Linked DNA regions of Tamandua tetradactyla. The protein of the gene in region 2 purifies or fractionates together with the protein of the main gene of each other region. This does not show direct contact. Links are inferred from orthologs where the notes say so. Each region holds a gene or a part of one and is shown on either strand. Other genes may lie near its edges.

The links.
Region 1: the proteins of MTHFD2 (region 2) and HRAS purify together in Homo sapiens (co-immunoprecipitation; 4 studies listed by BioGRID and IntAct, with this or other methods). This does not show direct contact. The link is inferred for Tamandua tetradactyla from reciprocal best matches to the Homo sapiens genes MTHFD2 and HRAS.

What each region holds. Positions count from the first base shown.
Region 1 is NC_135335.1:395,757-402,693, forward strand, and holds the start of HRAS (GTPase HRas), read right to left. Parts: upstream 3,012-6,937; 5' UTR 2,932-3,011; intron 1,769-2,931; exon of another isoform or gene 1,672-1,768; intron 1,538-1,671; exon of another isoform or gene 1,466-1,537; intron 1,316-1,465; exon of another isoform or gene 1,228-1,315; intron 120-1,227; exon of another isoform or gene 1-119. Other genes in the region: LRRC56 (leucine-rich repeat-containing protein 56), read left to right, coding at 6,058-6,222. UniProt on the Homo sapiens protein: Involved in the activation of Ras protein signal transduction. Ras proteins bind GDP/GTP and possess intrinsic GTPase activity.
Region 2 is NC_135343.1:48,071,799-48,079,219, reverse strand, and holds the start of MTHFD2 (bifunctional methylenetetrahydrofolate dehydrogenase/cyclohydrolase, mitochondrial), read right to left. Parts: upstream 3,021-7,421; 5' UTR 2,998-3,020; coding exon 2,705-2,997; intron 1-2,704. UniProt on the Homo sapiens protein: Although its dehydrogenase activity is NAD-specific, it can also utilize NADP at a reduced efficiency.

The sequences.
Region 1 (6,937 bases), on a different chromosome or scaffold from region 2:
AGAGTACTTAAGAAACCCCTCAAGAGTAAGGGAACAGTCAGAACTGAGGCACTGCCTTGAACCCCACATATACCCCCAATGGCACACACGTGTCAGCCTGTACCATCACTTGAACCCTGAGGCTCCTTAGCACCCCCACTCAAACCCTGAGCCTCCTCTCCACCCCCACCCAAACCCCAAGGCTCCCCTGCACCCCTACCCGAACCCCGAGGCTCCCCTGCACCCCCACCCGAAACCCGAAGCTCACCTGTACCCCCACCAGAACGGAGAGGCTCACCTAATCCCCCCACCAAGACCCTGAGGCTCACCTGAACCCCTACCCGAACTTTGAGGCTCCCCTGCACCCCCACTCAACCCCCAACGCTCACCTGCACGTCCACCCGATGGCCAAGTCTCCCATGGACCCCCACCTGAACCCCGAGGCTCCCTTGCACCCCTATCTGACCCTGAGGTTCCCTTGTACCCCCACCTGAACTCTGAGGCTCCCCTGTACCCCACCCAAACCCGGAGGTTCACATGCACCCCCACCCAAACCCTGAGGCTCCTCTGCACCCCTACTTGAACGTGGAGGCTCCCTTGCACCCCAACCCAACGATCCCTTTCACCCCCAAGCGAACTCTGAGGCTGCCCTGCACCACCACCTGAAGCCTGAGCTTCAGTCACCTGAACACCCACCAGAACCCGGAGGCTCACCTAAACCCCCACCCGAATCCCAAGGCTCAACTGAACCCCTACCCGAACCCTGAGGCTCTGTTGCACCCCCACCCAAACCCTGAAGCTCCCCTGCACCCCACCCGAACCTCGAGGCTCACCTGTATCCCATCCAAACCCGGAGGCTCACCTGAACCCCATCCGAACCCCGAGGCTCCCCTGTACCTCCACCCAAACCCCGAGGTTCCCTTGTACCCCCACCTGAACCCCGAGACTCACCTGAACCCCACCCGAACTCCGACGCTCCCCTGTACCCCCATATGAACCCCGAGACTCACCTGAACCCCACCCAAACCCCGAGGCTCCCCTGTACCCCCACCCAAACCCCGAGGCTCCCTTCCACAGCCAAGCGAACCCCGAGGCTACCCTGCATCGCCACGTGAAGCCCGAGGCTCACCTGTACACCTAGTAGAACCCGGAGGCTCACCTAAACCCCCACCAGAATCCCGAGGATCACCTGAACCCCACCCGAACCCCAAGGCTCCCTTGCACCCCCACCCAAACCCCGACACTCACCTGCACCCCCACCCGAACTCGAGGCTCACTTGTATCCCTAACCGAACTCCGATTTCCCCTGCAACCCCCCAAATCCCGAGGCTCCCCTGCATCCCCTCTCGAACTACGAGGCTCCCCTGCAGCCCCCACTCGAACCCCAAGGCTCCCCCGCAGCCTTCACCCTAACCCCGAGGCACCCATCTACTCCCACTCGAATCCCGAGGTTCCCCTGCACCCCTTCCTGAACCCCGAGGCTCACCTGTACCCCCACCCACCGCCGCAGCCTCCCAGACCGAGAACTAGCAAGTTGGCCTCCCGCCCTCGGCGAGGTGGGGCGCGGCTCCCGCCGCACTCCCCGCCGCCCCCGCCCGCTGCTCGGGGGAAGCGCCTGCGCCTCGGAGGGGGAGGGGCGCCAGGCCCACGCCACCGCGCGCCGCGGCCCCCTGGCCCTCGCCTGCCACTCACCGCCCACTGACGCGTCTGCCCCCGGGGCCGGGGCGGAGGCTGGGGCCGGGGCGGGAACGCGACGCGCCCCGCGCATGGGATCCCTCCGCGGCGGGTGCGGCTCCGGCTGCGGGAGGCGCGGACGGCGTCGGCGTCGACTCGGCCGGGCACACGAACGCCCCGCCCTGCGTCCGTCCGTCATCCCGCAGCGGCCCACTACTGGCTCGCCCGGCAAGATCCCGCCCCGCGTCGGTCCGTCCACTAGACGCGGCCTACCATTGGTCCGCACGTCCCTGCCCCGCCCCAAGGCCGCCTCCGCCCTGACCGCGCTTCGGTTGGCTGAACGGCCCGTCGGTCAAACCGCGGCTGGGCGGGACTTCCTGGAGCGGCGCGGAGGGCGGGGCCGAGCTCCAGTGGTGTTCGTGGGCGTGGGCGTGGGCGTGGGCGTGGGTCGCACTCGTAGCGGGGTCTCGGGGTCGTGGAGGGTTAGGGAGCCGGACTCCGCGGGCGCGGGAGAGCGAGGGCGGCGGAAGGACGAGTCTCTGCGGTCCAGGCGGCCCCGCCCCGCAGCCGTGCCCGGGGTCGGGGGACGAGTCTCGGCGCGCGCTCTTGCCTACGCTGGCCCTTGCTTCGCACTTTCCTGTCTCCCGCTGCCCCCAGCCCCAGCCCGGCCCTGCCGACGCCTCCGCCCACGCAGCTCCCCGCACCCCCGGCTGCGCCTCTGCGGCCCGCGGGGCTCACGGCACACCCGATTCCGGCGCCTGGGCACGTCCAACCCGAACAGCTGCCCCGGGGGGCGAACGGACAAGATTCCCGCAAGCGCAAGCGCGCGTTCTTTTTTACGATTCAAATAGAAACTTTAAACGTATTCTAAAACGTTGGGGTCCTGCACGAATACACCCTACTTCTTTCAGCAAAAAAGGGGAAGGACTGCGGAGGGGCTTCCCGTCCCGCCGCCCTCCCAGCGCACAGGAGCCGCTGACGTCTCGGCCGAGGCCCCAGGGCGCACACCGCGGGCCACTCTCTCCACCCCGGCCTGGCCCCTCCCGCGCACGGCCGCGTCCCCCGCGTCGCGACCTTGGCCCTACCCACCCGCGCTGCGGGGCGTGGAGCCAGTTTCGGGGGAGCGCCGGTGTACGCGGGGGCGCATGGGCGCTCCGGGGTGCGGTCTGGGTTTCTCTCGGATAGGAGGGTCCTTTCCCCGCCGCGCCCCCTCTCGTCGCGTTGCTCGCACTGCGCGGCGGAAGGTAAATCCCGGGGGATCTCGGGCGACCTGCCCACCTGGGAGAGAGGGGCGCGCGAGCCTCCCGGTTCCCCTCCAACCGATGGCGACTCCCTTCCCACCCCGCTCCCCCGCGGGCGCGCGGGGCACAGAGCCTGGGGGAGGGCTCCCACGCGTGTACCGGGCCGCGCAGGGTCGCGACCACTGCCCCGGCCCGGCGGGCCCTAGCAACCGCTCCTGGGGGCGTGGCTCAGCCGCGGGCTCCGCGGCGGGGGATCCCCGCGGCTTAGGCTTGGTGGCGTGTGGCCCCGCCCCCGTTGCCATGGAGCCCGGGCCCGCAACCCCCGGGCGGAAGAACAGCCCGACTCCCCGAAAGCCCCGCGGTGGGGGCATCCCCAGGTGAGAGCCGAGGGCGCCCTCGGACCGGACCTCAGGCCTCGCCCCTGCGCGACGCCGAGGGGCGCGAGTAGGACGCAGTGTCCTGGTGGGGCCGGCATTAGTCCCTAGGGTCACGGTGGGGGGGGGCGGTCAGGTCTTCCCTGAGAGGGAGAGACAAAGGCTGGGGCCCAGATTCTGTTCTGGGGGTCTCCATGGGGGGCGCACATGAGAGAGACCAGGGCGGGACGGGGGCACATTGGGCGGCGCTCGGCCTCTTCCGGCCAGAGGCGCCCGCGGAAGCATAGCACCCTGGCCCGTGCCCTTCCCATCACCCTGGGCTGGCGTCGGGGTGGGGGGGCGGGTTAGGTGGGCAGCACCATCCCAAGGGGATGCCAGGGAGGGGGTCACACTGGGAGCCCGGGAGTAGTGAGAGATCTGGTCACTCTGCTTGCGGATCACCAGAATTGCCTCCAACCAAGGCGGCCAGCCGGGACTGCGCCGCGCCTCCGCCCTCCCGCCCTCCCAGCTGCGTGCTGGGCCAAGCCCGCCACGGAGGGTCCGCTGAGCGTGTGGGGTCTGGTCCCATTCTGCCGCCCTGCTGTTGGTCCCTCGCTGTGTGCACCTCCTGCCCGCTGCCCCCTGCTCCCGGACCCGGCCACCCACAGGAACTTCGGTGGCAGCGGCAGCTATGCACTGGCCCGCAGAGCAGAGCCAGGTTGCTGTTCTACCAGACCTCCCTGTTGCACCCCAAGTCCCAGCTCGTACACCTCACTCACGCTCTTTGTGCCGCCATGGCCCGGGCATCCGCGCTGACGAGAGGGGAGGAGGCCCAGGGCCTTGGGAGGCGGGGTCCTCAGCCGGTGGCTGGGTAAGGCCGTGGGAGCTCAGCGCTGGGGGAAGCACCACGCAGGAGGGGCCAGGCCGGGTGGGGACAGCGGCCCCGGGTCATCAGGAGAGGGCGGGAGGCGGGACGGGCGGTGAAGGGGCCCAGAGCGAATGGATAATGCAGGGGCTAAACCACGTGGATGCCCCCACCCACTCGCGGAGCCTGCACCCCCAAAACTGGCCCTGGCCACATGGTCTCTTGGACAGGGGCCTCGTGTGGGGACTGAGGGGCAATGAGGAGGTGCTGGAAGGGGGTCTGGGGTTGGCGCCCCGGGTGGGGTGGGAGGGTCGGGCGGGGTCTGCAGGGCCTTTGCGGGGGCGGGAAGCCCCCTGCTTTCCAGGGCGCAGTCACCGGCACCCAGACGTCGCCCTTTCAGCACACAGTTCAGCTCTTTGTACCTGACTTTCAGGAAATTTTTGAAGAAATCTCAGTTGCAAAGATGTAGTTATAAGATTTGTCTTTTGAGCGTTCGACGATGGCGAAATAGATGTATTTTGCAACACCCATCAAAAAGGGCAATTCGTTCCTTTATTTAGCAGATGTTTGTTGAGCACCTGCTGGGCGGGGGGGGGGGGGGGGGGGCGCTACAGAAACTTCCAGGCCGCCGGCGCCCCCTGCGCCCCGCCCCCCGACGCAGGGCCGCGGCCGGGGGTCTTGGCTGCTCAGCCCGCGTCCGGGGAGGGGCTGCCGGTGAGGACCACCCGGACCCCAGGCCCGAGGGCGCGGCCCCTTGCGTTCTCCCATTCACCGGCTGTTCACGCGCCCCCTCAGGCGCGCCTGCTTGATGCGGGGCCGCGCGTGGGTGCGGGGAGCAGGCCACACCCCACAGGCTGAGACCCGGGCGCAGGCCCCGAAGGGTGGGGAGGGCTCGGAGCGGGCAGACCCCAGGCCAGCGGGTCCCAGCAGGGTGTGGAGGAAAGGGGCTTGGGAGAGGGGTGGGGATTCACCTGGGGGCCCAGAGAGCCCGTGCAGCAGTGACTTGCTCCATGGGCCTGCCTGGCTCCTTCTCCTCTTAGCCCCAGCGGGGTGAGGAGGGCCACGGGTCGGCAGCGACCCTCACACCCGCGGGCAGGAGGCGGGGGCACCCCTTGGGCCTGGGTCGCAGCTTCTCTCTCCTGCAGGTGCTGCCTGAGGCCCCCCGGCTGGATGTCTGACTCATGCAGGAGAAGGCAGCTGCCCGCAGGTACAGATCTCCACTGCACAGGGCAGCGCTGGGGTGCCAAGGGGGATGGTGGCAGTGCCTGGGGCTCTGCTCCTGGGCCTAGGGTTCAGGACCATCGGGTGGAGCCTGTTTAGGTGCTCAATTGCTAGTCGTGGGCAGCCGTGGAACCCGCCCCCACAGGCTCACAGACCCCCAGAAGCAGCCCCCAGTCTCACAGCACCCCAAGGTCACAGCTCCCCAGAGTCACAGTCCCCCAGCCTCCCCCGCCCCCAAGATCACAGTTCTCTAGCCTCGCAGTACCCCAAGGTCACAGCCTCACAGCCCCCATCCTTGCAGCTCCCCAGGCTTAGATGGGGGAGAGAGCTGTGGAGCGAAGCCCCTTGCTTGGGCCGTGTGTGTGTGTGTGTGTGTGTGTGTGTGTGTGTGTGTGTGTGTGTGTGTGTGTGTGTGTGTGTGTGTGTGTGTGTGTGTGTGTGTGTGTGTGAGACCCCAGAGCCAGAGAGGCTGGAGCGTTCCGGGAGGCCGATCGCCTGGGGCAGCCTTGGCGGGGACAGGGTATGAGCTGGGTTGGCTGAGGCTGCAGTTGTTGCATCAGTCGGGTCCCCAGGGTGGGAGGGGACCCTGATGCTGCGTGTGCTGGGCGGCCGGTCCCACCATCGGGCACAGGGCTGGGGAACAGCCCAGGGGCCGGTGGGAGGTGGGCTGCGGACCCCGGCGTGCCCAGCTTGCGCTCTGCTCCTCCCGCCAGGTGGGATGTGAATGGAGCCCGCCTGGGACACAGCCGGGGGGCCTCGGCCCCGCACGCCCAGCATCCGCGTGTGGGAGCTGAGCTGGCCGGGCCCGCAGAACCCCTGCCCACCCAGCGAGGGCGCAGACGGCCGCAATGGGCCGTTGCTGGAGGAAGGCCTGTCCCCCACCCGGCTGGTGAGTGCCGGGGCCTGGGGCCGCAGGAGGGTGGAGCCTGGGGACCCTCTGCACAGCGCAGGGCACGGACGGCTGAAGCGGCCGCGGGCGGGGTGTCCAGCAGGGCTAGGGGTGGCTGAGCGCAGAGTGGGTGTCTCGGGAAGGAGCCCCTCCACTGCCTCACAGGCCCTGTGACGTGGGACAGGCAGGTGGGGCTCTGCTGGATGTGGGGTAGGGTGCTAGGGGCCCCAAGCGGCCTGGTGGGCAGGTGGAAACCTCAGACCCTGCAGCCCCCGGAGGCAGGGCGGACAGGGCCCCACCTGACCGATATGGGGCAGGGCCACAGGCCTTTCTCAGTGCCACCCCGCACTGCCCAGGACCGCCGAATGTGCACCCCCAGGCTGCCTTTCCCCTCACCTGCCAATCCCTGTCCCCCACAAGCCCGGCTGCCCCCCCATAGCTCCCAGGCCACCCCCTCACCCGCCCGCACCCCCAGCCACCCAGTGTCCCCACTGGGCCCTGTGGAGGTCCCGAGCTGGCAGGCAGTCCCCTCCCACCCAGCACCTGCCCCCGAGGGTCCTGCATGCAGGGGTGGTGGGGGCTCCAGGCCCTGGGGACCCTGTGCCTGCCCCAGGGACGTGCGAGCCTGATGGGGAGGTCCCAGCCCCAGGGAAGGGGTGCCTGGGGATAGGCCCAGCAGTGGGGGCGCTGTGAGTGGAGGGACCGGAATGGAGCT
Region 2 (7,421 bases):
GTGATATGGTAGAGTTAAGGACAGAGGGTTCTAAAAGAACATGGTGTTCCAAGTCCCAATCTGAGCTTCCAAAGGCAGGTTCTAGATGTTATGCCAATTTTCTTTAAAAAAAAAAAAAAAAAGAGAGAGAAACTGCCCAAAAGTAACAAAAGTCAAAAAACAAAGCCATAATACAAATAATACTCTTCATGATGGCTGCATTTCCACCCTCCTCTGCAAAATGATGAGAGTGAGTCAGTACCTAACTTTCCCTCATCTCTTTTGCCAAGAGGTAGATAAAGTAACTGCTACTGCAAAGTAAACAGGGACATGGAGACTTGGTTCATTCCCAAAGGGAATCTAAAAATTATAACTACGTCAGCTAACATTTATTTAGGAATTAGGTGGTTTCAGAGATGTGCTTAGAAAATTTTCCATTAAAATGAGTCAACAGACCAGAAAGAAGAGGAATGTTCAAATAAAGTTCAGAATCAAAATCCCAGTCAGTAGCCTCTTCACTTTCCTCCCAGTTTAATAGCTGACAGTATTGTAATTTTCCATGAGAAATTAATAGAAGCATTTTACAATTCATGATCAAGTTATTTGGGGAAGAGCGCTGTTATCTTCTAGTTGCTGGAACCAGTAATAAGCGAAGAAAGATGCAAAGGGGGATGGAACTCACATCTATCAAACACTAGGTATTTTGCTAAGAGTTTTCTACATAAATTATTCTCACCACCCTCCTAGAGCTATTATAATAACAGAGGATGGTAGAACAAAATTCAAACTCAAACCTCTGCCTCCAAAGTTCATTTTTCCCGATAGGCCACAGTCTCCTAGGCAATAGGTTTATGTTCTTGAAACTTACAATATGAAAAACCCTTGCACTGCCCTTAGGCTGAGACATAATAAATCACCATGGTACATCATGTAAAGCATTGCATGATATATTCTTGATGTGCTGAGAAATCTCATTGCCACGCGGAGACTGACACCCCTGAAGTAACACACAACTGCTTTACAAAAGCTGGTCGTGGAACCAGTGACTGTTCTAATGAACGGGGCAGGCTATATGATAACTGACCGCCATTAGCTGCCCCAAACTCAAGATGGTTTTGTAGATATTGATACCATCTTAGCTCCCTCTGCTGATGTTGAATTTCAAACAAAAACAGATACCTTTGACATAGGTCTATTATGAGCACAAAAGAACGGGAAGAAAAGTTGCCAAAGTTTGAACATCCCAGGAGAAAAGAAGCTTAACAGCACTGGCAAACAGTGATGGGTGATAAATTGCAACAGTCAGAATTTTGTCTCCAAAGCAACTGAGTTACTAAACATGTTTGTGAACTACAAAAGAACCATCAGGATTCAATCTAATGTTAAACCGAAAGTAAAACCAGGATCATTTAAAATATGCCTTAGAGTTCCATGTGATATATGTGCCTTATTTAGCCCAACAGACATTTCTAGACCTTTCTCGCCTCTGCCTCTTACAGGTTTTGTAAACTCTGACAATGCCAAGGGATCCCTTCTCTGTACAATCAGGAGATTGGATCAGATGATTACTGAACTGTCAGTTCTGTAATGTCAGATTTGGTAGCAATGCACAAACTAAAATGTCACCTGACATATTAAATCAACAGAGAAAAAGACTATTCTTCAAAAACTTGATGTTACCACACTTGAATTTGAAAATTATAAAGACAGCTGTCTAAATGATTCTACTTCCACTTTAGTGTATACCCCCAGAAAGAAACATTTTCTTTGAAAAGCACCCAACACTTTTTTACAACTATGTATTAATTTATCACCAGGATAAATGGTTAGCATGCTAAATAAATCAGATAACTTTTTTTAAAAAACCTTTGCACCAACCTAAAATAAAGGGAATACAGGCAGACTCATATTTTGCTTTAAGTTATCAGTGTCACATTCATGTAAACAGCAGTAATCAAAGCAGCACATCCTAACAATATAGAATGTAGATAGCAGTGCAGATAACAGTTTTGCCTTGAGAGATGTAGAAGCTTACTTTTTCATTCAGAAAAGTAAGCAAAAGGAGAGCATCTGTTATTTGGGAATGTGAGCAAACAGGATGGTGTCCTTTACACAAGAAGGCTCTCCATAAACCTCGTATCTTCCATGAAAGCCTAAGAGCAGTCTGGCCCAAAGGCTCATCTGGCCACTGCGCATGAAGGGGCTAGAACCAAGGGGCAGTAATGAAAGAAGGGACTGGAAAGGCAGGTCAGGGTGGGTCCAAGGAAAACGTGAATGCCTCTCCAGTCTTCCTTAAGAATGTATCAACCCTCCTTCTGCGTTCCAATAGCATCTTGGAAATCTCTGTCAGCACTTTTCACACTGAGTGGAAGTTATATCCGTGTTCGCCCCCTTGACAGATATCTGCGTTCCACTAAAGAGAAAGCAGCTTTGACCCATCTCTGAATTCACAGTCTACCACGGCGCCCGGCACGGAGGAAGGGCTTAGTGAACGTTTGCTGATAACAAGACTAAGACTTAGGACTCTGGCAATGCGAGGGCTCTAAACGTTGACAGAGTGTGCACAGATTTGGGGAGAGAAATCACAGAGCCCCAAAAGGAGTCTTCAACCTAGGCTCAAGAATGACAGTTTGGGGTCCAAAAAAATCAGGGAAAACCTATTGCCTGCCCACGGAAATGCAGACAGAGCTTCGCCTCGCCTCGCCTTCTCCCCCGAGGGTATCACCTGGACTTACGCTGGGCGCTGCCCAGCTCGGCGTGGCGACTGCAGTCAGAGTCCCGGTGACGACAATACATGTCTTCTTTCCCGAGGCAGAAGGGAAGTGCGGGTACCCAGCCAGCAAGCCGGCGCGGGGATTTCGTCAGCCTGCACCAATCCCCTCCGCCGCTAGGGTCCCGGGAAAGCGGGTCATAAGGAGCCCTCCACGCCCTGGGCCAAGGGTCTGCTTGGCGTCCCCCAAGGCCCCTCTCGGCATCGCGGCCGCTGGCGGCCCGCAAACTCGGGCCAAACCTGGGCATCCTCGCGCGTCCCCTTGCGAACTCCGCACGGTCCGGCTGTCTCGCCGGCGATGCCCCGACCCTGGGGGGGGGGGGGGGGGCCAGGGACCAGCCCACCCCGCCGCGCGAGCGCCCGAGCCGCGCGGGCTGCGGCTGCGCCCGGCTGCCACGTCGCCCCTCTAGTCAGAGGGAAATGCCACCGCCACCCAGGGCTGGGATGCTCGGGAGGAACCGCCCCTGCATCCTCGCGGGTCCGCGCAGCCGCCTGCCTTCCGTTACCCCTGGGCTTCCCGCGCCGACCCAGCTCCTCGACCCTCTTACCGAACAGCCGAGCGACAGAAAGGGCGATGGCGGAGGCGGCAGCTCTGCGCGGGCCGGAGCAGCCCGGCTGCCAGTGTTGACACAAGACGCAGGGGAGCCATAGCCCGTGCCGCTGCGCGCGCCAGGAGAGAAATACAAGCGCGGGCCACACAGTTATACCGCGGCCGCATGGCAGGTCCCGCCTCCCGCCGACACCCATTGGTCGGTGCCCCACTCCCCTTGCAGTCTGTCGAGACTCCTGGAGCTGAAGTAGCCAATCATTTGTCTTCATTATACGTCAGCGACGTATAGTAAAGCCAGGTTTATGATCTCTTGGAGCACCTGGAACTGGGCCCAGCAAGGCTTGGAAGCCTCAGTGCCCGTCGTGATTGGCTGAGGAAGGCAAGCCCCTGCCTGACGCAGCTGGGGTCGCGGAAGTTGTGCCAAATGCCGGAGAAGGCGTTCATTCATTGAGCAAGCATCTGAGCGCCTACCGTGTGTCAGTCACTAGCGGTAAAGGGTGGTGAAAAGACAGGCAGTTAGAAAATCAACCAATAAATGTAGAAAGAATGACGGAGGTAGAAAATCACCGTTTGGCAAAATCATAGTAAAAATTGATTTAGGCAAAAATTATTCATGGATTTCAAATCAACTGGGTGCAAGTTTGCTAAGGAACAAGATATTTACTATCCAGTTGCCAGATTTAAAATATAAAAATACAAGAAGCCCTGTTAAGTTTGAATTTCTGATAAGTAATTCTGGATGGTCATACTTACACTAAAAAAGTATTCAGTGTTGCTATGAAATTGAAATTCCCCTGCGCAGCCTCTATATTATCTTGCAATCCTATTGACATGGTCTCCAAATATCTCCTCCACAAAATATTTATTAATTACACAGGGGAAAAATAATAAATTTACAGTGGAGAAATCTTAAAGCAATCAATATTAACAACACAAACATACTGTCCGTGCCTCCAGATACGATGCATTCAGGAGGACGCAGGACTTCGTAACTTTTCACAAGCATGAAAATCTGATGAAGTGATTTCTCTAAACCGTGGGTCTCCGCTAAATTGTTACAAATTTCTCATTTTCACATCAAAAGAAGAGATCATATGACCAAGAAGTTAAGATTTAACATAATTAAGGTTAATGAATCATTATATAGACATTTCTTTTTTACTTTCTAGTATATTGGAATAGCCAGAAGGAAATGCCTAAAATTACCCAACTATAACCCAACTGCCTTGATCTTTGATAATGATTGTATTACAATGTAGCCTTTATCTTGTGATTGTAAAAACCTCATGACTGACCCACATTTGTACCCCTAATTCTGTTTTTAAACTTTAGAATATTATGATCACAGAAGACAGCCCCTCACGTTTATTAATGAAGAAACTTGAATCACCCCAGCACTAACCCATCCCAATTCCTAAACAATCTTGCTCGATGAAGCTGGATCTAACCAGAATTCGTCTGCCTGAACGAATTCTTAAATTCTAAGAATTTAAGCTTAAATTCTTAGAATTTAAGAATTTAAATTTAAGCAGCTTAAATTTTAACTATAAATAAACTATCCCTCATTACAATGCTGAAAATCACGCCCATCATAGCATTAAGGCCACCATTTTCTTACATAAATTCTAAGCATATAATCTAGATCATCTCCAATTACAGCATTTAGAACCATTTTGCTCATTATCCTAAAACCTGCCCATCTTTTGATATTATAAAGCTGTCAGAGGGTGGGCCACAGTGGCTTACTGGCAGAGTTCTTGCCTGCCATGCCAGAGACCTGGGTTCGATTCCCAGTGCCTTCCCATGTTAAAAAAAAAAAAAAATTCGTCAGTGTTACTGTGGTTTGGAAAGACAGATTTTTAGGGTGATGGGCCATCTGATCTGCTTCACACTTAGCAAAAAATTCTCTCTTTGAAACCCCGGTGTCACAGGTTGGCTATTAATGTGTATTGGGCAGAGAACCCCCTGCTTTTGATTGATATCAATCACAGACCTGGAATATTTCGATTGTCCAGGAAAAAACCATATTTCTGAAATTTTGGAATATGTTAGTAGATCTCAATCTTATGAAGAAACATCAGACATGTATGTTTGGTAGATATGGAGTGTGTATTAATAAAAAGTAATAAATTACAAATAAAGATAAATCAGACAAACCCAAACTAAGACACATTCTACAAAATGAGCAGCTTGTACTCTTCAAAATGTCAAGGTCATGAAAGACAAAGAATGTGGAACTGTTCTACATTAAAGGAGACTAAAGAGACATGATGACTAACTGCAATGAGTGATTTGGGATTGGATTCTGGACCAGAAAATAGAAGTAGTTTCTCCCTCCTTCCTTCCTTCCCTCCTTGTTCCCCATCTCCTCCTCTTCCCACTTCTCTCCCTGCCCCCCACTTTGGTATCCCACCTCCTCCTTCTTCTCCTTGCTATAAAGGATATTAGGGAACAATTGCCAAAAAATGAATGAGGTCTGCAGATTAACTAAGAACATTGTACCAATGTTAATTTATGTTAATTTACTGATTTATATAATGATACTGTGACTATGTACCACAGTTGAATAAGAGACTGTATTTGTTTTTAGAGATAAAGGGACACTATCAGCAATTTACAACTTCAGATGCTTCAGAAAAAGAAAAGGACATACATAAAGAGAAACTGATAAAGCAAATGGCAAATGTAAGATAGTAGCAAATGGCAAATGTAAAATAGTAACAATCTGGGTGAACAAGTATTCTTTGAATGTCTGTAACTTTTCTGTAAATCTGAAATTATTTAAAATTTTTTTGAAAAGAAAGACTGTGCCAGTTTTAAAGGATTTTTGTACCCTAGAAAAGCCTAGGGTACAATGTTTTAATCCTAATCCCATTTGGTAAAAACAGCTACTTCTTCTAATCCCTATCCAGCACTATAGGTTGAAAACTTGATTAGGTTATCTCCAGGGACACGTGACTCAATCAATTCTGGGTCTTAAACGTGATTAGATGAAGACGTGTCTACACGCATTCCAGGTGGGTCTTGATTACTTTATGGAATCCTTTAAAAGAAGCATTTTTGGAAAAGGTTTGAGATCTGAGAGAGCCACCAGACTGACCACGACGACAAAACCATGGGAAGCAGAGAGTACAACAGCCAGCGACCTTCGGAGACGAAGAAGGAGAATGCTCCCAGGGAGCTTCATGGAGCAAGAGGCCTGGAGAAGAAGCTAACACCATGTTCGCCATGTGCCTTTCCAGTTGAGAGAAACCTTGAACTTCGTTGGCCTTTCTTGAGTGAAGGTAACCTCTTGTTAGTGCCTTAATTTGGACATTTTTATAGACTTGCTTTAATTGAGACATTTTCATGACCTGAGAACTGTAAACTTGCAACTTATTAAACTCCCCTTTTTAAAAGCTGCTCCATTTCTGTATATTGCATTTCAGCAGCTAGCAAACTAGAACAGAGATTAACAAGGCTTCTGCCTTCATGGGGCTTGGAGGTAAAGTAAACACAAAATGAACAAGAGAAGAAACAAAGGAAAAGAATATGGTCTGAGAAAACTCAAGAGAGTGGATGTGAAAGGCTGTGTAGACCTGAGAATACCCTACAAGTCCTGTGGTTGGGTACATGATGTGTCCCAGAATCTGTCTCCAGCAAGCTGTGGGGAAGAGACGCCCAGTTTTGATAGCTCTCTGGACTTTGCAGCAGAGGCTTGAAGAAGGAAAGGAACCAGACACATCCTGTTCTTAAGAAACCTAACCCTCCCACCACCTGCAGGATTCTGGAAATTCTATATTCCCAAAAGGTGAACTCTCAAAAGTAAAACCATGAGGACATTATTATATGTTTTTAATATACTTAACAAAAGAATTTGCTTCTATGCTCTCACAGTATTACATGGAAATGCCGTTTAGTTAACACACTTATTTTATGTCCTAAGTTTTAGTCCAAATTCTGTAGGTTGGGGGTGCTCAGACCCTTTTACCTTCCAACTCCAACTAGCCTTTCTGCCTACTCTTTCTTTGCCCTGCCCTCCACTAAGTATATCATGTGCCAAATGGTATTCGGTTGCCTCTGTTTTCCCAGCTGGAAATGCTCTCCTCTCTTTGCTCCCCACCGACTCTGCTACCCAAGGCT